6 linked regions of the Oryctolagus cuniculus genome follow. The protein of the gene in region 4 interacts with the protein of the main gene of each other region in a biochemical or structural test. Links are inferred from orthologs where the notes say so. Each region holds a gene or a part of one and is shown on either strand. Other genes may lie near its edges.

Region 1 (4,220 bases), on a different chromosome or scaffold from region 4:
GGTGCAGGGCCCAAGCACTTGGGCCATCCTCCACTGCCCTCCCGGGCCACAGCAGAGAGCTGGACTGGAAGAGGGGCAACCAGGACAGAATCCGGCGCCCCGACCGGGACTAGAACCCGGTGTGCCGGCGCCGCAGGTGGAGGATTCACCTAGTGAGCCGCGGCGCCGGCCCCAAAATTCTTCACGTTGGCTCCACCAGGCTGCGCGGGCGCTCCACCCGCCTGGGAGCTCAACGTGAAGACGGCATCGAAGGCGAACGGGAAGGAAGGATTTCGGAAGCTGCGTGAGAACGCTCTGCAGGCTTCCTCTCGGGAGAAAACGTTCACTGAAAACTGGCAAAGTCACAACAGATTCGCGGTGACAACGTGCGTCCGTAGGGCAAACTTCCTGAAACAGAGACCAGCTGTGCGTGTGCCGTGGCGGGCGTGGTGCGGCGCGGGGACGCGGCGTGGGGAGACCACCCCGGAGAGCAGGCACCTGCGTGAGGGCAAAGCGGTCACTGGCCCGCAGCCCGGCTCCTGCAGCACCGCAGGGCGAGAACTCTCTAGCAACCCCCCAGGCCCCTCGGGTGCACTGTGTGTGCTTCCGTGTTCCTAATTCTGACGCTACACGGGAACATACCCCGGCCATGTATGTGATACAGAGAATGCACGCGGAATTCCATTTTTCTTTTTCCTGAGCACAAATAGTTAAATTTATGTAAGTTAAAGGCTCCTCTGGCGCCATAAACGGATTTAAAAACAAACGACCCAGTAAAGGCACAGCCCTCCCCGGGCCCAGCCAGGCGTCTGCAGCGAGGACCGCGGTCCAGGCGGCCTCTTTCTCGCTCTCCGGTTGAGCAGGGAGCTGAGCCCCGCGCTCTGTCTTCGGGCCATGACAGATCAGTCATGCTCCAGAAGTTTTGGGTTTTTTTTTTTTTTTTTTAATACTAAAATGGCAGCTGGGAAGTCATAAAGCATTTCCCCAGAGAAACCCGCTGAGCAGGGCGCGAGTCCCGGGCTGACTCAAACCCTCACCAACACCCAGGGCAGGGCAGCTGTGACAGCTACAGCGCCAGTAAAGTCCGCGCAGGCCGCGCCGCGTCCTTTCGAGAACCGAGTTCAGCTGAAGAACAGCGAGGCTGCCAGCGCCTTCGCGCTCCGCCAGTCTCCCCGGCTCCCGAAACGGGGCCTGGGGGCGGCCACGCTGCAGACCCCGAGGGAGTGCGCGTGCACGCGCTTGCGCGGCCCGGGGCCGAGAAGCTGCGCCACCCCGTCTAAACCTGTGCTGTCCAGAGGGAACGTCCTTCCCCCTCCACGTCCAAACCCGCACAACCGGAGGCTGCTCCCGGAACCGGCAGGCAGGGGCCGGGTTCCAGGCAGAATCCGGCCTGCAGCCCCCAGCCGGGCGTGGCTCGGGCCCAGCAGGCACAGGACGGGCAGCCCCTAGAGCGGAACCGGGCCAGGAAGTGGTTCTCCCCCGGGGTCTGCAGCAGGCGCCCCCTGAGCCCGGTGAGGCCTCGTCCCACCCCACGCCGTCACGTGACACACGTGCTGTCTGGAGCCATGAGTTGGTGACTGAGGGAATGGATGCACCTGCTCCCATCCACCCCTCCCAAGTTCAAGTTCAAATCCCGCCCGGGTGCACGCCCCAGGAGCACCGGACCCTAGCCGGCCAGGGGCAGGGGGCCGCGCGCGCACGCCGGGACCCGAGGGACTTCGCCGGGGACGCCGGAGATAACCCGGGCCGGGCTCCTCCAATCACAACAGGCACGCGCGCTGCTCCGGCCTCGAGGGGACAAGGGGACACCCGGGGACAGCGCCCACCTGCTGCCCACGCGAGCCTGCGGCGCCAGCGCCCGTCCGAAGCCCACCTCTCCGCCGGCGAGGCCGCCGCCGCGCTTCCCTCTCGGGCTTCTAACTCGCCGCCGGCCACAGCGGCGGTCAGCGGGGTCGGCCGCTCGGCCCAGCTCGGCCCAGCCGGCGCTCGGTCAAGTTCAGCTCGTCCCCTCACTTTAATTCCTCTGAACAAAACGTTAATGAACTAACCGGGTCACCTTCCGCGACCCCTGCCACGCTGGGCTGCTCTCCGGCCGCGGCCAGCGGCTTCCGGGGCTCGGCGAGGACGAGGCTGCCAGCCCGGTCTCCGCCCGTGGACCCGGCCAGGCCCCGGCCCCGCACTCCGGCGTCCGCTCCGGCCACTTCCGAACAAAGAACCGGACCGCAGCGCACGGCCGGCGACCACCGAGGACGGCCGGAAGCCAGCGGAGGGCGGGCCGGCCAGGACTCGGGCGTGGGCTCCCGGCCGGCGACCCCCGCCTCGGCGCCCCGGAGACCCCCGCCCGAGACCCTCCGCGCGCCGGAGACCCCGGCCCGACGGCCCTCAGCCCTCGGAGCCCCGCAGACCCCCGCCCGAGACCCTCCGCGCGCCGGAGACCCCGGCCCGACGGCCCTCAGCCCTCACAGTCCCGGCGACGCCCAGCCTGAGTCGTCGGACTGCGGCGACCCCCGGCTCCCCAGACCCGACGCCCCCGGCCTGCGGAGGGTCCCGCGCGACACCCGGCGCCCAGAGCTCCGCGTCCCGCACCGCCGTCCACACCAAACACGGGCCGCCAGGGGCGCCGGGCCCGGGCGCCGCCAGGACGCGAAGCAGGGGGCGCAGGGCGGCCGGGCCGCGGGCTGCACTGACCATAGTTGTCGTCCTCCTCCATGGTGCCGGCCCCGGGCTCGGCCACCCGGCTCGCCGCCACCGTCCCGCAGCTCGCGTCCCGCAGCCCGCTCGCCTCAGCCCGGCTCGGAGCCCCGCCCCCCGCGCCGCGCGCACACGCACGCGCGCGCACACACACACACAGACACACACCCGCCCCGGCCCGGCACGCGCCGCCTCCCGGCCCACGCCTGCGCACGCGCGCTCCCCAGGCCACGCCCGCACCCGGCGTGTGCACGCCCCCAGCACGCGCCGCCTCCCGGCTCGCGCCTGCGCCCGTGGCAGCAGCCGAAGCCCCGCCTCGCCCAGCCGCCGGCCCCGCCCCAGGCCCCAGGCCCCGCCCCCGCCCGCTTCCCGAGCCCCGGGCAGGTTTCGGGTTTCGCAAGGGCGACGCAGGCCTGCGGGTGTGGCGCGCCGGTAAAAGCTGCCCACAGAGGCCCAAGGTCACGTCCGGCCACTGAAGGGCAGCGTGGTCCTTGCTGACGTGCACCTGGAAGGTCAGGGCAGGCCCCAGCTTGCGTGGCGAAAGGCCGCGGAGCGACAGAGTCCGTCTGCGCCTTTCGTGTGTGACTCTGCGGAGTCTGTCGCTCACGCTTCCCGGTGTGTGTGGGTCGAGTTACAAAGGGGGCAGCCTGCTGCCGGCGGGTCCGGGCTTCAGCGACTCCCCGCAGCCCCCTGGCTGTCCCCTGGCGTCCAGTGGAGTGGCCGGAGCGCAGCACGCGGAGCTCACAGCACCTGCTGGGCAGGCGTCCGCAGTTCCCCAGTCGTGAGCCAGCCAGTGACTGGGAGAGGCCCTGAGACATACCCGCCCCCGTGAGGTCCCAGGTCCCAGGCGGGAAACCGATGCCCGGACACACGGAGGGGCTGGGCGGCAGGTCCCGGGCCCCTTCCACCTGCTCACCCGGCCTACCCCCGTGAGGCCCTGCAGGAAGGAACCGATGACACACGGGGAAACTTGGGGGCCTCTTCTCTTTCTGTGTGACCAAGGGGAAAATCCCACGGCTGTGCTGCCGTCACCAGGACCAGCCCTGTCCCGGCTGCAATGACTCACGGCCCCCCTGCCTGCCCACCACACGGCCGAGCACTCCCCGGGGATCCCTGGACCCGGGGTGCTCTTTGTATTAGACCCGCCGAAAACAGAAGTAGAAGCTACAGAACACGCCCCGAGCCCCTGCCGCGTCTCGGGCAGCCGCGGTCCTGCCCCGGCGGTGTCGGCCTGTCTGCCAGATGGCTCGGAGCCTCAGGGGTTTGGGCCCCCGTGGAGCGCCCTGCAAGTGTCCACTTCAAAAGCCACAAACGTGACGTGCCTCAGGGTCATACGAGCTGCCATGTGTGTGCGTGAACATGTTTTTTCTGGAAGGAAACACAGAAAAACTGTTGACGGGGGTACTGCGGGAGGAGGGGGAGTCAGAACCTGGTTTCCCATCCGATTCTTCATTGTCTTTCTGTGCTGTCTGGTGGTTGTTAAACACGGGACTGTGTTCCGTTCCTGCTAAAAATCTAAAGGACGTGTCGCTCTGGATGCGTCGTCTCTT
Region 2 (3,941 bases), on a different chromosome or scaffold from region 4:
TCTTCATCTCTGCTGGAGAAGGCCACAGAAAGCTTAGTACATTGTTAATAAGAAAAGCAACAATTGAACTTTACTGAGTGCTTAAAATGTGCAATACACACATGGAAATTATTTAGCTTTCAAGTCAGTCCTCGAGGTGTTAGTAGTCCATATTTTAGGTGAAGAAACTAAAATCCAGAGATTAAATAACTTAAAGGTCAGAAATAGTGAGTAGCAGCTCTGGTACTCCAAGAGATCACTTTGGAACTGAGTTTCAAGAGTGAGCAGGAGTGACCCAGGTGGAGACAGCAGTTGGAGAGCGAGAGCATTCCAAACCGATAAACTTCATTTCAAACATGTAGAAGCAGTCAGAGGCCAGCGCCATGGCTCACTTGGCTAATCCTCCACCTACGGCACCAGAACTCCAGGTTCTAGTCCCAGTTGCTCCTCTTCTAGTCTAGCTCTCTGCTGTGGCCCAGAAAGGCAGTGGAGGATGGCCCAAGTGCTTGGGCCCTGCACCTGCATGGGAGACCAGGAGGAAGCACCTGTCTCCTGGCTTTGGATTGGCACAGTGCACCAGCCGTAGCGGCCATTTAGGGGAGAGAAGCAACGGAAGGAAGACCTTTCTAACTGCCAAAAAAAAAAGACGTAGTCAGAAACATCCGGGTTCAATCTATCAATAGGCATAGAGGCAAGAGTACAGGCCTGGGCAGTTAGGCAAACAGGACAGGTGGATAAGAAAGGAACCATGTGCCCTACAACAGTTTAGTAATTGACATTATTCTATTTGCATTTAATAAGAGTTAATAAAAATGGCTATCAAGACCAGAGTTCGGGCTATTCTAATCCAGTTTCCTGTGAAGCTAGGATCTGCTGCCTACCATGGTGTACATTAAGTACTTAAGTCCCTGCCACTAACATGGGAGCCTCAGATCGAGTTCCTGGCTCCTAGCTTTGGCATGACCCAGACTTGGCTGTTGTGGTTATTTGGGAAGTGGAACCAGTGGATGTAAAAATCTGTCTCTGCCTTTGAAACACTGAATAGTAAACGCTTAGTATTGAGAGCATCTTGTAAGGAGAACACTAAGTAATTGACTCTCATTTGAGCTTCATAACAGTCTCGTGAGGAAGGTACCACCATTATCCCATTTTACAATGGAGAAGGCTAAGCTTTGAAGCAAGAAACCAGATTGCTTGGGGTTCTATTTACAGCTACAGAACCACATTCAGTACCAAGGACCTGCCACTCTAGACTGTGCTGTTGGCCAACTGTTCCCCAGGGCACTCATGTGATGCAGAGGAGCAGGATGGGAACAGGGCAGCGAGGGGGAAAACGAGTACACCAGCCCAGCAAGTGGCTGCCACAGCCCTCACCGAAAGTACGGCAGCCATGGGCTGTAGCAGGAGAGTCGTGAGAAATACACAGCTCGAGGTATCACTGGAGGCTGCTGGAGATCTGGCAGCAGGAAAGAGGCAGTGACTAACCAGCAGCCGTGTGTAGAGATGATGCTTCCACTAACCAGGACAGTGACTGGCACAAGCACCCCGACAGAGTGGAGAATGGCCATGGATGCTCAGGAGGTCAAGGTCTTCCCAGCTAGAGGGAAAGGTCCAGAGGGCAGCGGGATGGGTAGATCTGGAACTTCATCTTCTTATGAAAGAACAGATTCAGCCACCAACACGTGGCAGGCATGAGTAGTTAGGTGTGCCCAGGGTGAATGTTAAGGTGACAGGAGTGTAGAAAACCCCAAGGATTCAGCAAAGAGCCCCTTTCTGCACGTGTAAGGTTAAGATCTGTCTGCCTTCCCGAGACAACTCCCAGGCAGCACACTACTACGAGGGAAGCACAGTCACCAGCATTTCTTCTACCAAGCTTACTTGCTACCCTGTGTGAGGATCTAGATGGCATATTTCTCCCAAAGCCAGCCAGCCAGCTGAAGGGCATGTTTAATGGTCAAAGTAAAACTTCCTCGTTCATCAGGGTTATTGTCACAGACCTGCTTAGCCACTCCAAGCCCACGCTGCCCGTGTCAGTAATTCCATTTTGGCCACCAGCCCTGTTGGCTTTGGATGGGAGCTCTGTAGGCTTCTAACGCTTTCAGAACACACCATCCCAAAGCCCGATTTCTGTTCTGCTCAACACTTTGCACCCTTCAACCCAACACATCACAGCATAGCTTATCTGCCTCATCACAAATCTACATACGAGTCCTTGTTTCCAGTTTCATTTTTAAAGCAAAAAGCTTCCCAGTGATAGCATGTAGCAAGGAGAGGGTGAGGGGAAAGGGGAAAAAAAAAAGCCCGTTTGGTCTGCCCTCACTGGCTGTTGCTACCTTGCAGTTTGTGACACACAGAGGGAGGTCTAATCAAGGGAAGGAGGCAGCCAGAGGGCCATTTCATTCCCCTGGAAACCAGGAGCCCCCTTGATGCTGACGTCTGTGCCTACTTTCCCATGCGACTTTGAGGGGGGCTCTGGAGCGATTTCGTGCCGTGCGCCAGCTGAGCGAGCCGCACAGGGAGGGAGGATCTGACTGAGCGGTGGCAGAGGAAGCCAACACGGACCTCACAGTGCTGGAACTGGCTCCGGTCTCGCATGCAGTTTTGGAAGTCAGCAAAAAACAGAAATCAAATTACTCTCATCTGCTACTGGAGAAAGCTCAACCCGGCTTCATTACTATGCGAGAGGCAGCAAGGAATCTAATAACCCAGCGTGCCTACTGTGTGGATCTGAAGATAATGTAAGTTCCCATACTGCTGTCTAATTTTCTGGTTTGAAATCATGCTTAGCCACAGTGCCATCAATTTGATGATAATTTCTAGCGTGGAAAGTTATCCACTGATCTTCAGAGAGGTTTCCTCTTTCCTTTTATTAAGGAAGCAGCACAGTGCAAGCTGAAATTCCTGACGGCAGCTGTGGCAATTCAGCCCAAGACTGAGAACGCGAAATATATCCAATTACTATGGGATTACCACTGCTTGTTTTTATAATTGACTTTCTCCATACACTGTCTGCATCCCTGCTGTTTTGGACTGCATGCCGTCTCAATATTGAGATGACAATCTAGTGTGATCCGAGTAACTGACAGCGTGAGACAGGATTAAACCCAATTCCTAGTAGCTACAAAACTTTCTCAGCCAGGGTCTCTCCCCCAAAGCTGAAAACTCTACCACCTGGCTGAACTCTATCTTCTGCTTAAAGTTCATCCTGCTTTTTTGTCCTTACTTCGCGTTTTCAAAAGATCAAAGCCAACGTTGGAGTCTGCTGGAACAGGGGACACAGGAAGCGCCACCTCGGCTCTCCATTACCGTAATAATGGGAGAGGGGCAGGCAGCCAGAGGATCCCAGCGTGCCCCACAGCGTCAGTGTGACAGAGTGCAGGGACGAAGATGAATGGCAAGCACAGGCTGTAACTTAGCGATCTCTCTACACTTCAGCTGCTGCACGCTGCGGCTCAGAAATGGATATGCTGTGTGAAGAAAACACTTCTTTGAGCTCCATGAACTCTTTAATGCAATTAAGCGATGACACAAGGCTCTACAGTAAAGACGTTTCCTCCGGAGAAGCCAACACTTCCGATGCATTTAACTGGACAGTAGACTCCGAAAACCGCACCAACATTTCCTGTGAAGGGTGCCTCTCACCACCATGTTTCCCCTTCCTCCGTCTCCAGGAAAAAAACTGGTCTGCTTTATTGACAGCTGTAGTGATCGTCCTAACCATTGCTGGGAACATCCTCGTCATCATGGCTGTGTCCCTAGAGAAAAAGCTGCAGAACGCCACCAACTATTTCCTGATGTCACTTGCCATAGCCGATATGCTGCTGGGGTTCCTAGTCATGCCCGTGTCCATGTTAACCATCCTCTACGGTGAGTGGCACCACTTTCCCAGCCGGACCCACGCTGGTCATGTGCAGCATGTGCATGCCTCAAGACACGGGGGACAAGCTGGGCAGAAGGCTCTG
Region 3 (4,177 bases), on a different chromosome or scaffold from region 4:
GAGTCTCAAGGGGTGGGGGAGGATGTTAAGTTGGGGTGCAGTGACGAGGAGGGATTCGGTTTGGAAGGACAGAATGGGGGCAAAGCCGACACACGCCGTTCTCTGGCCGGGTAGGACAGGACCCGGGCCGCTCATAAAGGTCAGTGAGGGGATTAAAAGGCTCCATGTCTAATCCAACGGCTTAACCAGGTCCTGGCCCCGAATCCGTCCCCGCCCGCCCAGCCCAGGGACGGCAAATGAGGTGAGGCCCAGAGACTTCAGTCCCCGTGGTCTGACCACTCACAGGGGCTCGGCGGTTCTGTCCAGGCGGGACCTGCGCACCTGCCACCCCCGGCCGGGGCTGTGGAACGGGAGGGCCTGGGGCGCGGGGGGAGTCTGAGAGGGTCGGGGTGGGGGATGCCTGAACAGAGCAGAGCCGGAGTCGGGGGAGAGAAAGCAGAGAGGCGGCAGAGAAAAGAGAAAGAGGTAGAGACTCGGAGGGAGGATGCTACGCTAAGGGGAGGGGCTTAGGAAAGAGGGCGGAGCCGGTGCTGTCCCTAACGTCCCATTCTGCGTGACCGGTACCCGGGAGTGTAGCATTTGACAGAACTCCATTTCACTACGTCCTGACCCTGAAGCGGCTGGAGTGGTCATGTGGGGCGTTAAGGGAAGGGTCTGCACGTAGCAAGGGAGACGCGAGGCAAAAGGCCGGCGAAGCCGCTCATGGTTGCGCGGCAACCGCGGCGGTCCAAAGCCAGCGTGGCCGGCCGGGAGGTGTGGCTCACGGCCTAGGCCCCGCCCCCTAGCAACAGGACTAACAAAGTAACGCCCCCTGGCAACGTGCTGAGAGGCGGGGCTCGACTGACCCAGACTCCGCGCGCCCCGAGTCCTTGCGCAGGCTCAGTGTTCTCCGCTCGCGCACAGCCCCACCTCCTCACAACGCCTTTGCGAGGCTTCTCATTGGTGGACAGGCTTGCCAAGGGCATTCTTTTGTTTCGGGGGCGGGGCCTGGCGCCCTGCCCGCACCCCGATTGGGCCCCCTGGCTGTCTACCTCCGGCCGGACATGCCTAACACCTGTTTCTTGTGTGCCTATTGGCCTGGGCGGACTGTCCTTTGGCGTCGGGGGGCGGTGCAGCCCGGAGGGGTCGCCGCGGATTGGGCGGTGTCAAGACGAGGGGCGGTCCCTACCGGCCGGGCGGTTGGGCGACGAAGGGAGAGTCTTTTCAGCGCTGAGGACTGGCGCTGAGGAGGCGGCGGTGGCTCCCGGGGCGTTTGAGCGGGCTCACCCGAGCCCGCGGGCCAGCGCGGATCCAGGCCCGACTGGCGGGACCGCCCCGGACTCCCCGCGGGCCTTCCTCGCCGCCATGGAGGACGGCGTCTACGGTAGGCCGGAGGGGCGGGGCCGTGGAGCGGATGGAGCGTTCCCTGGCGAACGCCCCGCCGCCGGCGTTCGCGCCCGGCGCCCGCCGCCCGGGGTCCTCGGCGCCGCCGTCGCCGCCGCGCTGGCCGGGGCGCCGGGCGGGCTTCCGGCGGGGTCCGCGAGCGCGGGGCGTTCCGGGCCATTGTCTGGGCCGAGCCCGTTTCCGGCGTCGGCGGGAGGGGGCGGGATGGCGCGGCGGAGGCGAGGCCGGGGCGGAACCATTCCCGCCGGAGGGGCCGGGCGAGCCCAGCGGCGGGCGGGGAGGGGAGGCCGTGGGGGCTGCCGGGTCCGCCGAGGCCCGGCCGCGCCGTCCCGACTCCGCGGGCTGCCGTCGGCTTCTCCTGCCGTGGTCACTTCCCTTGGACCCAGGGCTTCCGAAGACCCAGGCCCATCTTCCCCCGGGCCCCCCGGCCGCCGCGCCAGTAATGGAATCAGAACACCACGGCCGCTTTCCAAGTAATGGACCCGGAGGCCGAGGCTCCCACGCGGGTTCCCCCTCAGACTCTGGGGGCCGGGCCCTAAGCCCCCCCGCCCCCCCCGGGACTCCCGGCCTCAGCCCTGGCCTGAGCGGTCCAGGCTGCTAGTGCCCCCTTCATCCGAGGCAGGCGCCTCACCTGCGTCCTGCCCCAGCCCCGTCTCGCCCCACGTTGCAAGCATGCAGGCTCCCGGCCCCAGGGCTGACCCTCGGCACCCCGACCCCGGCCCCGCAGAACCCCCAGACCTGACGCCGGAGGAGCGGATGGAGCTGGAGAACATCCGACGGCGGAAGCAGGAGCTGCTCGTGGAGATCCAGCGCCTGCGGGAGGAGCTCAGCGAGGCCATGAGCGAGGTGGAGGGGCTGGAGGCCAACGAGGGCAGGTGAGGGCCGGGCCCGGGGCGGGCGGCCCGAGCCAGGCCGGCCCAGGACGCCAGGCCTGACCCTGGGCCGCCGCCCCCGCCCTGCTTCGTGTCCCCTGCAGTAAGACCTTGCAGCGGAACCGGAAGATGGCAATGGGCAGGAAGAAGTTCAACATGGACCCCAAGAAGGTACCGGGGGCCAAGGGCTGGGTGCTGCCGGGGGGCGGGGGGTTGTAGCAGGTTTGTCCCCAGTCCCTGGACTCAGCTACTGGCTGTCCGCTTGCGCTGTGAGCCCTGAGCAGTCCAACCTCTGGGGAGGCGCCAGACACCAGGCTGTGGACAGCCAAACGGGGAGCCTGGGGGGCTGCCCCGAGGAGGAGACCAGGTTAGGTTTGGAGGATGGAGAGGCGTTCACCAGTTGGAGGAAAGACTTTTTTAAAAGGGGGAAAGAGAGGGAGGGAGGTCCCAACAGCCAGGGCTGGGCCAGGTCAAAGCCAGGAGCTTCTTCCGGGTCTCACGCACAGGTGCAGGGGCCCAAGGACGTGGCCATGATCTGCTGCCTTCCCGGCACGTTAGCAGGCGGGTGGCTTGGAAGTGGAGCAGCCGGGACGCGCACGCTGGCCCAGCATTGCTCACCCAGTCGTTCATTTAACACCCGTTTTCCAGTGCCTCCCGAGGGCCCGACCCTGTGCCGGGCGGAGCTGGGGACCCAGGGAGGAGAGGCCCTGGACACAGACCCACCGCCCAGAACGAGCTGTAGCTGCAGCGTAGGGGCTGCACGGCCAAGAGGGCGCCGAGGAGCCTCCAGGCCGCCTGGGGCTCGGTGTCCACCACTGCTGCCCACTGACACCGTCACTCAGCAAGCAGGTGTTCAGCGTGGACCTAGCCAGGCAGGGACAGGGAGGCTGAGGTCCAGGCACCTGTGACGGCCTGGCCCCGGGCACTGAGAGCCCGCTCTCGCCCGCCAGGGGATCCAGTTCTTGGTGGAGAATGAACTTCTGCAGAATACCCCCGAGGAGATCGCCCGCTTCCTGTACAAGGGTGAGGGGCTGAACAAGACAGCCATCGGGGACTACCTGGGGGAGAGGTGAGCCCCTTCATGCCTGCCGGCCTCGCTCCCTGGGCAGGGCCCCTGCACACTGGCCCTCGGACCGGACTGCTGCGGAGTGTGTGTGTCTGGGTGTGGGCGGCCTGCCAGCGCCCAAGACGGGGGTCCCCTTATAGAGAGCATCCAGGAGCATCACGGGAGTGGGAGAACCAGGCATGGGCTGCAGGTGTGCGTGGGAGCTGTCTGGCCAGCCAGGGAGTGTGGGGACGCGTGGCAGGCCCCTAGGGAGCACGGACCCCGTGGACATCTAGGCGATGTGCAGCTGGGTGATGGCTGGGGAGCATGTGGCTGGCGGGGGGCATTGGCAGGCCTTCATGGCCACTGGGGTGCACGTCTAGGGGCCAGGGCACCGTGTCCACATCTGGGGAGTGTGGGGTCGTCTGAGGGGGCAGGAGGTGGCGTGGGTGGTGGGTGCGAGTCTCCCAGCAACGGTGCAGCTAAACTTGAGCAGCCCTGCCGTGGGGCCAGGCGGGAAGCCGCGTTCCCTGCCGAGGGCCAGCTGCCCCAGTGCCCCCTGTGCGTTCCTGTGTGTGTGACTGTCCTGTGCTCGCAGGGAGGAGCTGAACCTGGCCGTGCTCCATGCTTTTGTGGATCTGCATGAGTTCACCGACCTCAATCTGGTGCAGGCCCTCAGGTGAGGGGAGGGGTCGGGGGGGCAGAAAGTCACTTTCCTTAGTCCGGAGTGGTGAGCCCCACCCCACACAAAACTAGGGAGTTGATTGCTTCTTGTAATGCCAAAGTCCATGAGTGAGCCTCCTCCAGGCACGGCCGTATCCAGGCGCCCTCTTCGCTCGTCGTGTTGGCATTGAGCTTCTTGACCTTCCTACGTGGC
Region 4 (4,070 bases):
CCTTGGTCTTCCACCAACATGGTATTATTTCATCCTCCAAGCGGGGCGGAGTAAGCGAGGTCAGTTTACACAGGAGATCAGCGAACGAGGTTAAGTGGCCTCTCAGGTTCTACACCCTACGCTAAGGTGACTGCAGCACGGGTGGGTGGGTGGGTGAGCAGCTGCCGCTCCCATACTAAAAGGAAGTGACACTGGACTAAGAACAGTTCATCGCGTTCCAGAAAGCTCTTCACCGCCAGCTTTTACAAGAAACGTGAGCTGGTCCTGATGCAACACGGACAGGGCTCCAGTGTTCGAGAGAGGGGCTTCCGAGCAAACCCGAGCCCAGCCACGGCGCGCCACTGACTGGCGGGTTCAACACGAGCGCGCCGGCCTCCCATGCGTCTTCCAGGAAAACCCTGAACACCAGAGGCAACGATACCAAGGAGGGGGTCGGAGAAAAAGCTAAAAAGCGGCCAAGGCGTCCCCGGGAGACCCGGGGCGCGCGAAGTCCGCCGAACTTTCCGGGCCTGCAAGCGGCTCCGTGGGGGCGGCTCGTCCGGCGGCCCCGCCCTTGCGGAGGCTCCATTTCCCCACCTCCCCGGAGTATTTGCTCCCCGGACTGCGGGGGCGGGCAGAGGCGCGGAACGAAGGGGCCGCCGAGCGCGCAGACGCGGCGAGAGCGACAGGTGGGCGCGGGCCAGAGCCCGAGGCGCGCGGGCTCGGGCGGGCGGCACCCGCGAGCCCTCCGGGACGCCGTAGCCCCGCCCCCTCCGGCGCGTGGCGCCCGTGACGCTGGGCGCGCGGGCCGCTCTCCTTCCAGAGGTCGCTCTTGTCCGAACGGTCGGCCTGCGCTGCGCCTGCGTGGTCGGGAGGGGAAGTGAGGCGGTTTCTTGGGCGCCTTTTCCGGCAGCGGCAGCGGCAGAGCTGGGAGGAGGTGGCGGCGGCCGGAGCGAGCCCGTGCTCGGGGCGGCGGCTGGAGGTAACCCCCACCACCACCACCCGGCACCGACACCCGGGGGCCGAGCTGTTAAGGCGGGCGGCCTCGGCCTCCGCGCCCGCTCCCGTTCGGAGCTCCGGCGGTAACTCCCTTCTCCTTCTCTGTGTCTCCGCAGGCAGCGCGCTGAGTTCCCGCGAGGATCCATGACCTGACGGGACGCCGGCGCCGCGCTGCCTGACGGGTGGCCTGGGTCGGTGGCGAGCCCGGTAGTCGGCGGGCCGTCGGGCGGGCGGAGGAACGGGCACGGCGGCGGCGCTCGCGCGGCGCCTGCGGGGGGGAAGGGCAGTTCCGGGCCGGGCCGCGCCTCAGCAGGGCGGCGGCTCTCCGGGCGCAGACTCAGGGCCCCGGCGGCGGCGGCGGCTGGAGGAACCAAGTTGTGCGGGTCGGTGATGCCCGAGTGAGCGGCAGGCCCGGGCCTCTCGCCCCGTAGGAGGCGACTCCCACGCAGGCCGCACGGGCGCCCTCGCGGCAGGGAGGCTTCGTTTCGGTTTCGCGGCGGCGGCGGCGGCGTTGTTGGCTTGAGGGGGAACCGGGACACCTGAATGCCCCCGGCCCCGGCTCTTCCGTCGCGATGGGGAAGGTGCTATCCAAAATCTTCGGGAACAAGGAAATGCGGATCCTCATGTTGGGCCTGGACGCGGCCGGCAAGACCACAATCCTGTACAAGTTGAAGCTGGGCCAGTCGGTGACCACCATCCCCACCGTGGGCTTCAACGTGGAGACGGTGACTTACAAAAACGTCAAGTTCAACGTGTGGGATGTGGGAGGCCAGGACAAGATCCGGCCGCTCTGGCGGCACTACTACACCGGGACCCAGGGTCTGATCTTCGTGGTGGACTGCGCCGACCGCGACCGCATCGACGAGGCCCGCCAGGAGCTGCACCGCATTATCAATGACCGGGAGATGAGGGACGCCATAATCCTCATCTTCGCCAACAAGCAGGACCTGCCCGATGCCATGAAACCCCATGAGATCCAGGAGAAACTGGGCCTGACCCGGATTCGGGACAGGAACTGGTATGTGCAGCCCTCCTGTGCCACCTCAGGGGACGGACTCTATGAGGGGCTCACATGGTTAACCTCTAACTACAAGTCCTAATGAGCATTCTCCACCCAGCCCCCGGAAGGAGAGAAATCAAAAACCCATTCATAGGATTATCGCCACCATCACCTCTTTCAATCGCCACTTTCTCTTCTTTTGAATTTGAACTCTGGAGTTACAGTTCTACGGTTTAGGGAGGGGGGGTTGGGGTTTTTCTTTTTTTTTTGCTTTTTTTTTTTTTCTTTTCTTTATTCCGCTTTGCGTTAGGATGCTCTGATTTGACGTTTGACATGAACACAAAGTGCTAGGTGCTCTTGTTGACTTCCAGCAAATGGGGTGGGGGAAATACAGCAGTTCTTGGTAAAGTCCTTTATAATAATGGTTTGATTTTTTTATTTCTAGAGAATCTTTTTCCCCCCCAAATGTATGCTTTTTTCCTTTTTTTTTTATCCAGTTTCCTTATCACTTGCTGTAGATGGCTTATTTTGCATTCATGCAGACTATGTTGCAAGTCTGTTTCATCTAGTAAACTGAAAATTATTGCTTAATCAAACTGCCGTTTGTCTTTTATATTTAAGGCTCCCCCCCTTATGAATTCTAACTTAGTAATTTCAAATGTGACCTAAGACCAGTATAAGTAAACTTAGCCCACAGTGGCAAATAATGAGTAATATCATTGTAATATGTTCCAGTTGCACATCAGTATGTTAAACAGGTAATGTAAGAACTTATTTGAAATGTCAGCTATTAACTCCTAAGACATACATCATGCATGAGTAGGAATAAAACCCAGGGTCGTCATAACATAGCAAACTTAACACTGCAAAAAATATGAAAGTATAACCCGCCAAGGACATGAGGTTTTTTTTCACTGCAAAGTTAGCAACTTTTCCTTTTTTTAACATCAAAAATAGACTCCTTCCAGAAAATGGAGCAATAATGGTGTGTGCCACACACAGATATCTGTAGATATTTTAAGCGACTTTTGGGCAAAACTGGAATACTTATACATTGTTTCAAGTGTCTTAAGAGCAGTAGTATTAAAGTTACTGAAACATTAGTTTGTTCATTAATAAAGCATTTAATGATTCAAGTTATATGCACCTTTTACCTAGATGGAAAAATACACATTCCTGTTTTCACATTACTGCAACTGACTAAGCTGAAGATATATCATTTTTTATAGATGAGTGATCCACATCTCCTTTAATTAGAACACTGGAAAAGATGTTTTATAAAAAAGATATTTAATTTTGTTTGATTGTGGGATTAACTCGTGCAAATAGTAAGACAACCTGTTGGTTCAATAGTACACTGTCTCCTTTAAGAAAGGCAATGTGATGAATGAATGTTGGATGTGTAGACTTAAGGGATGACAAAGGGGAAGTGGGCTGAAGAGAGAACCTACAGATGACAATGAATGTAAACTTATTTTTCTTCAAGGGTAAGCAGTGTGCTCACTGGTGATATCCAGATCCTAACAGAATTACTTGGGTAGCAAGTTAGGACCAGTAGCTAGATTGAGACCACTATGGTAGTATTTTGAACCAAATGTTAATGCTTGATACAGAGTTGTGAAGCACCATCTGGTTCTTATATAGCCTTAAGGATTAATTTTAGTGATCCTCAAGGAATTAAACTTAGGGAATTTCAGAAATGTAGACTGCAAAGGCAGTATACAGGAAAAAGTGGAGTGGGTTTCGTTTATGAGGGTGTCTGAAAACAAAACTGAGCGGGATATCATGGTATAGTTGGACAGTATTGGTCCTTCATGCTTTGGCCATATTGTATAATGGAGCTTTTACCAAAGATATCTGAGAATCATAAGGCTATTTTAAAAAAAAAAATCAACCATTCAAAGTAAAACTCTTGACAAAGCATTTTTCTTCAAGCAGATGAGAAAAGGTGCTATGTTGTAGGCTCCGGCTGGTACAAAGGGATTTTTGAGTTCAAGATGCAACTAAAGTATAAAGTAGTCAGTTTCACTTTAGTGAAAGTATCTCTAAAAATGAAGCTGATCAAACACATCCTAAGAACATTATGGTTGCT
Region 5 (4,063 bases), on a different chromosome or scaffold from region 4:
CCCTGAAGGGGTTCTCCCTGTGGGCTGCAGGAGGGAGGGAGGGAGGGAGGCTGAGGAGTGACTGTCTGGAAGGGCCAGGGCCCAGTCCCCCAACCCTCTTTGGTCTGGCTGAGGCACCTGAAGCTCTGGGGACTTCTGGCTGAGGTCAGCAAAGGCGTCACCTAGTGCATGCTGGGTCTGCAGCAGGCTGTAGAGGTGGGCTGTCAGTGCCCGGCCCAGCTGCAGGACACTCTCATACTTGCGCTTCGTCTCACGCAGCAACTCAATCTGCAGCTCTAGCTCCAGGTCCACAGTCCGGGAGCCTCGGCCAAATCGCTCTGATAATAGTTGCTTTGTACACTGATTGGGAAGTGAGGGAATAGGTCAGAAACCCTAGCACCCTGCCTCCCTCCCAATAGGTACGTACTCCAGCACCCCCAGGCTCCTAGTCTCAGCCATAGATGGCATATTAGGATTTGGGGGAAAAAGTACCCAGGGGGAGTTTTGGGGAAGGGAGAGGGGCTAAATCCCACCTTATATGTGTTGATGCCCCATTTCTTGACAATGTCAAACTTCTCTCCAGCGATGCCCCGAGCCACTTCATCCCCAGGGCCAGGAGGAGTGGTGCTGTGAGATGGATGGCGGCCAGACCCTAAAGGACCAAGTTCTCTGACACCAGCTGCTCTCAGATACAATCAGACATCTCTAAGGCCTCACTCATACTTTCCTTCCAGCACATGAAAATGACTTCCCTAAGGAAGCTTGAGACAACTGAATTCTCCTGCTCACTAGAAGGGACATGTATGTACCTCATGCCCTGAGAATCCAATCCCAATATACATTTGGCTACCTTTGTGTGTGTGTGTGTGTGTGTGTGCTGGGGTAGAGGGAGGTTGGGAGGAGTGTTGCTGGTATGCAGGGCAGGGACAACAAGAAAATACATTGTGTTGGGGGTGGGGTGTCAAAGATGGTGAGTCCTTGGAAATCTGGTAGGCATCTCCATGTGGAATCCCAGTCAGTGACATCCGGGACTGTTTGTTCCTCTAAACTTTAGAGTCTAAAGTAAAACTGAGAAGCCTCACAGAGTTCCAAATTAGGCTTAAGCTTTAGAGCAGGAGAACTTTTGTGAACCAGAAGTCTTAACTTGGTTCAGATGGTTGTAGCAGGGAAAGGACAAAAATGCCACGTCAGGGGCTAACTGGTAAGTGGGAAGCCGACAGCAAACCCTGGGAGCTGGCTTTGGGCTGAGAGGACTCTATGGGGTTTGTATGAGCAGAAGTTCCCAAGCTTTCCGAGATACACTTGTATACCATGCTCCTCCAAACCACTCCTACCCCCCTCCCCACTCAGGCTTCCTGTCTCTGATCATTCATACCTGTGGGGATGAGTCCATCACCAGAGCCCCCATAGCCCCCAGACACAATGCTGGTTTCATTGAGGTTGGGTCCTGACACCATCACCTGCTGGAGGTCCTATAGGCCAGAGAAGAGGGGGGCAGCTGAGGCATTGTGGGAGTGGGAACAAGCTTGGATTGAAGCACCACAGACAGTACACTAGAGAAGTCTGCACAGAATCAGAATGAAGATTTGTAAAAAGGATGAAGTGAGGTAGATAAGCTAAGGAAGGTTGCTGGAATAGGGGTGAGAGCCCAGGTTTTATAAACTGGATTCCCGAATTGAAACAAGAATGAAAGAGAAGCACCTGCTCCAGCCCATCATCTTCAGGAAGCTGCCCAGCTTCGCCGTTCCCATGGATAGGGATCTCCATTGTGGCTGCCTTCCCTAGGATCCCGTCCGTCATGGCTAGGGAAGGGGCTGGAGCCAAAGTCTCCACCCCAGCACCCTGCAAAGCCCAACAGACAGTTTTGGAAAGTGGCCAGCAGTCTGGAAGAGAGAGTCCGCTCCTGCCATTTCTCATGTTTTAGAGGTAGTCCCAGGCTGAGTGTCCTGGAGTTCAGCCACCACTCCTTTCCTCAGGCATATGTATTTCTCCCCCACCGAAGCGCACATTTCTACACACCTACACCCAAGCCTCAGGTGTCTTCTCACAGCCTCCCCACCTCCCAACCTCAGGACCTGGTGCTTGTTCATGCATTCACTCATTCACCAGACATTTAGTGAGTGCCTACTATGTGACAGCCACTATCTGAGGCAATGGAAACACAGCACTGAACAAGAGAGATAAAGTCTCCGGTCTCTTGGAACTTAGCCCCATGCAGGTGCGCTTACTCCCAGCAGGAGCCAAGCCCCCTTCCAGCACTCCAGTGCTTTCTCCCCACTCAGGTATGCTCTCTATTGCTCCGCCTTTCATACTCCTAAAATGTTCTTTCCCTCTTCCTTCAGGGTGGTCTCCCCCCTCCATCTCATACACCTCCTCTTCCAGGGGCCCTCCGCACCAGGCCTCGCTTGAAACAGCTGGTCGCTGGTAAAAGCCTCTCTTCCCCAGAGCAAAGGTGATCCCTTCCAAAGTCAGTTGTGTCTCTCAGGTGTGTGAGTCCCTGTTCCCCTCCCCCCGACACACCTGGGCATCAGGTGTGTCCTCATCCTTGCCTATCTTTCAGGGGCATCTTGCCCTCAGGACAGGTCCGTGCATTCAACTTCCCCTCGCCCAGGCACGTCCCTCTCACCTCGGGCCGGGCAGCTCTTCCCCTCAGGGCGCCAGGCCCGAGCGGCGCGGGGACCTCCGGTTCCAGTTCCCGTCGCGATCCTAGCAGCAGGTCAGGGACTCGGCGGAAGTGACGGCCTCTCCGGGCAGAAGAAGCTGGCCACGTCGCAGATTCTAAGGGCGGAGGTGACGTAGCAGCCAGGGGCAGGGCTATCCTGGGGCCAACCCTTTAGTCCTTGGTGGGGGGGAGGGCGGGGGAGCGACGAGAGATTACTTCCGGGGCGGTACCCAGACCTTGAAACGGAAGTGACGTAGGGCGTGAGCGCCTGGCGGGATGGAGCAACAGCAACAACTGAGAAACGTGAGTGCTGCTAAGTCGCCCTAGAGCCGTGCCGTGAGCTCGCTTTGCAGGAACTGCAGAGAGCCAGGGATGCCAAGGCTGGGAACAAACGGCTATGAAACGTGGTCCTGGGAGGCCTGTGGCTGCGGGGCCTTGAGGTATGGGGCCCATATCGCTGAGTTCTTGGTCCCCTTTTCTTCCAGTTGCGGGACTTCCTGTTGGTCTACAATCGGATGACAGAACTCTGCTTTCAGCGCTGTGTGCCCAGCCTGCACCACCGAGCCCTGGACGCTGAGGAGGTGGGCAACTATGTAGGGACGTTACCCTCGATCCTCAGTTACGGGTCGTCTGCCTCCTCCACCCCCTTCCCCTTCCTCTCCGGCCTGGCCTTCCCACCACCCTCACCCCTAGGCTGCGGTTGGGGAAGGACGAAGCCGGGCCTAACGGGACCACTTTGGCCTCTACTTAACCCCTCTGTTTTCCTTTCAGGAGGCCTGTCTACACAGCTGTGCTGGGAAGCTGATCCACTCCAACCACCGCCTCATGGCCGCTTACGTGCAGCTCATGCCTGCCCTGGTACAGCGCCGCATCGCAGACTATGAGGCTGCCTCAGCTGTGCCGGGTGTTGCCGCTGAACAGCCTGCAGGCTCACCGTCCAGCAGCTAGCCACCCCCAGTCCCAAAAGGGAAGGCCTTGGATGGGCCCTCAGATTGAAGGACCCTGTGGACTTTGACTAGGTGAAGCCTGCACGAGGGGTTGCCTGAAAGTTGGGTACCGTTGCTCCATTTCCTGGAGCCAATAAACCCACCTTTTACTCTGTTTGGTTTATATTATGGGCAGGGAACCTTTGCTCACTGTAGGCACCATCCTTTGTTCTGTCGTTTAGTGCATATCTGCTGGCCTCAGCCCTGACCACTGAGGAAGTGTTTTCTATATGTAGAAGGAAAATGTCTGGTGTTCAGGCAGCTGGTTAAGTCAGGCTCTGTAGGGACAAGATCAAGGTCGGTAGTAACAATAGAATTGTTTCCTTCCCGGATGGCAGAAAATGGGAGCCCTGTCTGGCCATGCTTAAGTCTGCCTTAAAAGATGCACCTGTGAGTCAAATGTGGATTGGTATGTGACTGTTTTTGTGGACTGTGT
Region 6 (4,213 bases), on a different chromosome or scaffold from region 4:
TAAAACGGTAAGATTTCTATTCAATGTCTAAGGACATCCACAGTTCACTGAGAGATCATCTTCAGATTCTTGTAACATCCAACACTTCAGGGGCAGGAGAGCCATGGAAAAGGAAGAAAGGGCCGCCACTGGCCGAGCACACTGGGCTCCAGGCGTCAACAGCAGCAGCCGCTGAGTGCGACCCAGACACCACGGCCAATGCGCACGAGCAGGGAGAGTCCAATGCAGTCTGCTACAACCTCCGTGGTTTGAGCAAATCCAGCTGGCCTGTCCTGGACCCCCTGCCCCCTTTGAGGTCTCCCGCCTCACTGTTTCCCCCCCTGTTGGCTGTGCCACCAGCCTGGCCTCAGCTCCCCCCCCCCCCAGGCCAAAGGTCCCCAAGGAAGGGAACAAGGTGACCCACGGGCTGGCTGAGCTCCAACCCGCTGGGCGCAAACACCTTCCGGTCACTTCCACGGACATCGGCAGCTGGGATCTGCCCTCCCTTCCTCCAGGGTCGGGGCGGTCCGGAGGGCAGCAGGTCTGTCGCTGGGCAGCCCTGGGTCTGAACGGCTGGCCCGCGGGGGAAGGCCTGCTGCCCTGGCCTGGTGCTAGCGCTGGCACAGCGGCAGGAAAGAGCCTCCGGGTGGGCACTGGGCCGTGGGGCCCGCGTGGCAGCGCCGGCTCCGGCAAGCGCGTCCAGGTTGAATGCGGCGCTGGCCCAGCCGAGGCCTGGCTGCTGCAGGCAACTGGGGAGCACCCAGATCCCCAGCCTTCCGGGCTCTGAGCGGGGACGCCGGTCTCTCCGCTTCCATCTCCACGCAGCAAGGCGGCTCTGCACACTGTGTGCGGCCCGGGGCGGGGGGTTCTGGCCGAGCCCGGAGCAGCGGCGACCCCTCCTCTTTCTCCCCAGGGCGCGCTCTGGTTCTCCAGGGGCCCGCTCTCCCCGCCACACACTGCCCCGGGGCGTCTGCGGACAGGGACGCCGGACACGCCGCGCCCCCACGGCTCCAGCCGAAGGCCGCAGCTCCGCACCCGTCACGCCGGCCCGCGGTGCGTGAGGACTCAGCCTCCGTGCAACCCGCGCGCGGCGTTTGACGCTCACCCCCCGCTGGCGCAGCTCCCTCCACGTCGCCACCGCGCGTGGGTGTGCGGCGCGCACAGGTTCGAGGCCCGTCCTCGCGCGCCCCGCGCTGGTGACTTCACGCCGGCACCCGCAGCCGCCCAACACGCAAGCTGCCGGCGCCCGAGGCCCAGAAAAGCTGGGCCGGAGTCGCCGAAAAGGCCGAAACAACCACCGACGGCGAAACCCCGCGAACACCGCCGCGGCCCCGGCCGCCGCCCCCTGGCGCCCCTATTTATAGAAAGCCGGGGGGCGGGGCCGGCCGGCGCCCGGCGTGCTGACGTCAGGCCGACGGAGGGCGGGGCCGGGCGGCGGCCGCGGCGTTCGCTCCTCGGGTACCCCGGGCGCCGCATCCTCCTCAGCCGGCGCCGCCTCGGGTCCTCGCCTCGCGCGCCCCGCGCCCGGCGCCAGCTGCCGGGCTCTCGGCGTCCTCCGCGGGTGGTGCCGCGCCCGCCGCCATGGGCCCGCGCCCTCCGCGCCGCCGGGCCGAGGGCCGCTGAGGCGCGGGGCGAAGATGGGCGAGGGCGGAGCAGGGCCCGAGTGCCAGCCGGAGCAGCCCGGGCGCCCCGCGCGCGCCCGCCCGCGCCGCCGCGGGGATGCCCGCGCCCGCCGCCGCGCCCTGAGCGCCTTTGTCTGCCGCCCGCGCCGCCCGCCGTACCACTAGCCTCGCGGGCCCGCGCCGGGGCCGGGGGCGCGCCCCGCAACATGGAGCCGGGCCGGCCGGCCTCCCCTCCGGGCCCCGACTCGGAGCCGGGCGCGTCCGCCGGGCCGGCCCCGGGTCCCTCGGAGTGCGATGAGCCGGCCCCGGGGCTGGAGGACCCTCAGGACACCGGGCCGCCCAGCCGCGGTGCGCGGGGGCAGGATGCGGACGCCGGGGCCCGCCAGGCCGCCTGCCCGGAGCCCGACCCGCGTTCCGAGGTGGCATCCCCGGAGCCCGACCCGCGTTCCGAGGTGGCATCCCCGGAGCCCGACCCGCGTTCCGAGGTGGCATCCCCGGAGCCCGACCCGCGTTCCGAGGTGGCATCCCCGGACCCCGACCCGCCTTTCTCCTGGACCAAAGGCCCGGAGGACTGTGGTCTCCCGCCGTGCCCGGAGAGCCCGTCTTTCTGCGTGCAGGCTCCGGCTCTCAGCTTCGGTGTGCGGGATGCGGCCGACCTGTTCCCCGCCTTCCCTTCGCCTGCCGTGGACGAGCTGGCGCCGGAGGAGGGTCGGGCATCCCCGGAGCAGCCCCTTCCTGGCGAGCCCGCGGGGTGTCCGGAGGACGGCCCCCGCCTGCGAGCGGTGTTCGACGCCCTGGACGGGGATGGGGACGGCTTCGTTCGCATCGAGGACTTCGTCCAGTTCGCTACGGCCTACGGGGCCGAGCAGGTGAGCGGCACGGGTAGGCCCGGGGGTTCTGCGTTCTCTGATCCACCGCTCCGCCCTGGGCTCCTGGTGGGGTTTCCCGGGAGGCCCCCGCCTCCCTGTCCTGCCCAGGGCCGCGTCCCAAGGCCAGCTCCCGGCGTAGCGTCCTGCCCCAGGCCGCCCGAGGCGTGGCCGGAGCCCCCTTGCCCCTTGAGACCCTCCTGGGGGACGCCCCTTGTGAGCGCAGTTGCTTGGCTGTGTGTGGTTGGGTTAGGTTCTGCGGAGATTCCTTCTTTGTCTGTGGCCGGGGAACGCTGTGGCAGCTCCTTGGGGGTGAAGTGTTGGGTTCTGTGCCTCCTGCGGGCAGGAGGTGAGAATGAGCCTGGAGCTGACGGAGGCGCCGTCTGGCACGGGTGGGACGCGCAGGCGGACGGATGGAGTGCACGGGGCAGTGCCCGGGCCCGCGCCGACCCCGGAAGGTCACTTGCTGAAGTTAGGTGAAGATGCCCCCGTGCTGTGTGTGCGCGGACAGCCAGGGAAATCATGATTATCCATGTGCGTACTTTGCTTACCGGTGGGGAACCTCTAGCGTCCGTCTGCTACCTTTTGTGTTCCTTGACTTCTCAGGAATAGACTTTCGTGGAGTGAGTGTTCACGCACATACGCGCGCGTTTATGCCTAGAGGGTTTTCAAAGCAGGTAGAGTGGAGCCTGCTGTGCCCATCAGTTGGTATGCAGACCTGGGGCCCTTGCTGGGTTCACAGCATGGACGATGTCCGGGCACCTGCTGAGCACCCCTCCGTGTTGGGTCAGTGGAGTGCCTCGTGCTTGGGCGGCGCTGTCAGGGTGGGCCTGCCTCCTCTGATGGGCAGAGGCGGCGACAGGAGTCCTCCGGAGCTGGCCTGATTGGGACTGCTGCTTCAGGTCCTTTTTTTTTTTTTTTTTCCCAAGATTTATTTATTTGAAAGGTAGATAAATACACACACGGGGTGGGGGAGATGGGGGAGATATCCCATTGGCTGGTTCACTCCCTAAATGGCGGCAAAGGCTGGGGCTGGGCCAGGCTGAAGCAGGGAGCCTGGAACTCCATCTGGGTTTCCCACGTGGGCGGCAGGGGCCCTAGGACTCACGCCATCTCGCTGCCTTCTCAGGAATGCTGGGAGGAAGCTGGATAGGAGAGTAGTCAGGCCTCAGACTGGCGCTTTCGTGCAGGATGCTGGTGCTGCTGTGGCCCCTTGACCTCTGGGCCACCACACCGGCCCCTTGACCTCTGGGCCACAGCAGCCCCTTGACCTCTGGGCCACCACACCGGCCCCTTGACCTCTGGGCCACCACAGCAGCCCCTTGACCTCTGGGCCACCACACCGGCCCCTAGACCTCTGGGCCACACCAGCCCTTGACCTCTGGGCCACACCGGCCCCTTGACCTCTGGGCGACCACACTGGCCCCTTGACCTCTGGGCCATGACACTGGCCGCTTGACCTCTGGGCCACCACACCGGCCCCTTGACCTCTGGGCCACCACAGCAGCCCCTTGACCTCTGGGCCACCACACCGGCCCCTAGACCTCTGGGCCACACCAGCCCTTGACCTCTGGGCCACACCGGCCCCTTGACCTCTGGGCCACACCAGCCCTTGACCTCTGGGCCACACCGGCTCCTTGACCTCTGGGCCACCACACCGGCTCCTTGACCTCTGGGCCACACCAGCCCTTGACCTCTGGGCCACCACACCGGCCCCTTGACCTCTGGGCCACCACACCGGCCCCT

The links.
Region 1: the proteins of ARF6 (region 4) and CYTH1 form a complex in vitro, tested with the Homo sapiens proteins (2 studies listed by BioGRID and IntAct, with this or other methods). The link is inferred for Oryctolagus cuniculus from reciprocal best matches to the Homo sapiens genes ARF6 and CYTH1.
Region 2: the proteins of ARF6 (region 4) and HTR2A form a complex in vitro, tested with the Homo sapiens proteins (2 studies listed by BioGRID). The link is inferred for Oryctolagus cuniculus from reciprocal best matches to the Homo sapiens genes ARF6 and HTR2A.
Region 3: the proteins of ARF6 (region 4) and CYTH2 form a complex in vitro, tested with the Homo sapiens proteins (3 studies listed by BioGRID and IntAct, with this or other methods). The link is inferred for Oryctolagus cuniculus from reciprocal best matches to the Homo sapiens genes ARF6 and CYTH2.
Region 5: the proteins of ARF6 (region 4) and ARFIP2 form a complex in vitro, tested with the Homo sapiens proteins (2 studies listed by BioGRID). The link is inferred for Oryctolagus cuniculus from reciprocal best matches to the Homo sapiens genes ARF6 and ARFIP2.
Region 6: the proteins of ARF6 (region 4) and RAB11FIP3 form a complex in vitro, tested with the Homo sapiens proteins (2 studies listed by BioGRID). The link is inferred for Oryctolagus cuniculus from reciprocal best matches to the Homo sapiens genes ARF6 and RAB11FIP3.

What each region holds. Positions count from the first base shown.
Region 1 is NC_091448.1:2,886,020-2,890,239, reverse strand, and holds the start of CYTH1 (cytohesin-1), read right to left. Parts: upstream 2,801-4,220; 5' UTR 2,690-2,800; coding exon of another isoform or gene 2,671-2,689; coding exon 2,668-2,670; intron 1-2,667. UniProt on the Homo sapiens protein: Promotes guanine-nucleotide exchange on ARF1, ARF5 and ARF6. Promotes the activation of ARF factors through replacement of GDP with GTP.
Region 2 is NC_091440.1:65,865,664-65,869,604, reverse strand, and holds the start of HTR2A (5-hydroxytryptamine receptor 2A), read left to right. Parts: upstream 1-1,141; 5' UTR 1,142-2,717; intron 2,718-2,853; 5' UTR 2,854-3,437; coding exon 3,438-3,846; intron 3,847-3,941. UniProt on the Homo sapiens protein: G-protein coupled receptor for 5-hydroxytryptamine (serotonin).
Region 3 is NC_091449.1:8,592,821-8,596,997, reverse strand, and holds the start of CYTH2 (cytohesin-2), read left to right. Parts: upstream 1-1,377; 5' UTR 1,378-1,393; coding exon 1,394-1,856; intron 1,857-2,110; coding exon 2,111-2,258; intron 2,259-2,359; coding exon 2,360-2,426; intron 2,427-3,205; coding exon 3,206-3,324; intron 3,325-3,898; coding exon 3,899-3,979; intron 3,980-4,177. UniProt on the Homo sapiens protein: Acts as a guanine-nucleotide exchange factor (GEF). Promotes guanine-nucleotide exchange on ARF1, ARF3 and ARF6. Activates ARF factors through replacement of GDP with GTP.
Region 4 is NC_091443.1:26,198,546-26,202,615, reverse strand, and holds the start of ARF6 (ADP-ribosylation factor 6), read left to right. Parts: upstream 1-1,270; 5' UTR 1,271-1,550; coding exon 1,551-2,078; 3' UTR 2,079-4,070. UniProt on the Homo sapiens protein: GTP-binding protein involved in protein trafficking that regulates endocytic recycling and cytoskeleton remodeling. GTP-bound form plays an important role in the transport of multiple palmitoylated proteins form the Golgi to the plasma membrane.
Region 5 is NC_091432.1:60,403,279-60,407,341, reverse strand, and holds the start of ARFIP2 (arfaptin-2), read right to left. Parts: upstream 2,801-4,063; 5' UTR 2,606-2,800; intron 1,822-2,605; 5' UTR 1,780-1,821; coding exon 1,681-1,779; intron 1,452-1,680; coding exon 1,355-1,451; intron 632-1,354; coding exon 513-631; intron 340-512; coding exon 118-339; intron 1-117. Other genes in the region: TIMM10B (mitochondrial import inner membrane translocase subunit Tim10 B), read left to right, coding at 2,918-2,944, 3,127-3,222, 3,413-3,589. UniProt on the Homo sapiens protein: Plays a role in constitutive metalloproteinase (MMP) secretion from the trans Golgi network. May have important functions during vesicle biogenesis at certain cargo subdomains, which could be predominantly utilized by secreted MMPs, such as MMP7 and MMP2.
Region 6 is NC_091450.1:34,226,834-34,231,046, reverse strand, and holds the start of RAB11FIP3 (rab11 family-interacting protein 3), read left to right. Parts: upstream 1-1,413; 5' UTR 1,414-1,807; coding exon 1,808-2,470; intron 2,471-4,213. UniProt on the Homo sapiens protein: Downstream effector molecule for Rab11 GTPase which is involved in endocytic trafficking, cytokinesis and intracellular ciliogenesis by participating in membrane delivery. Recruited by Rab11 to endosomes where it links Rab11 to dynein motor complex.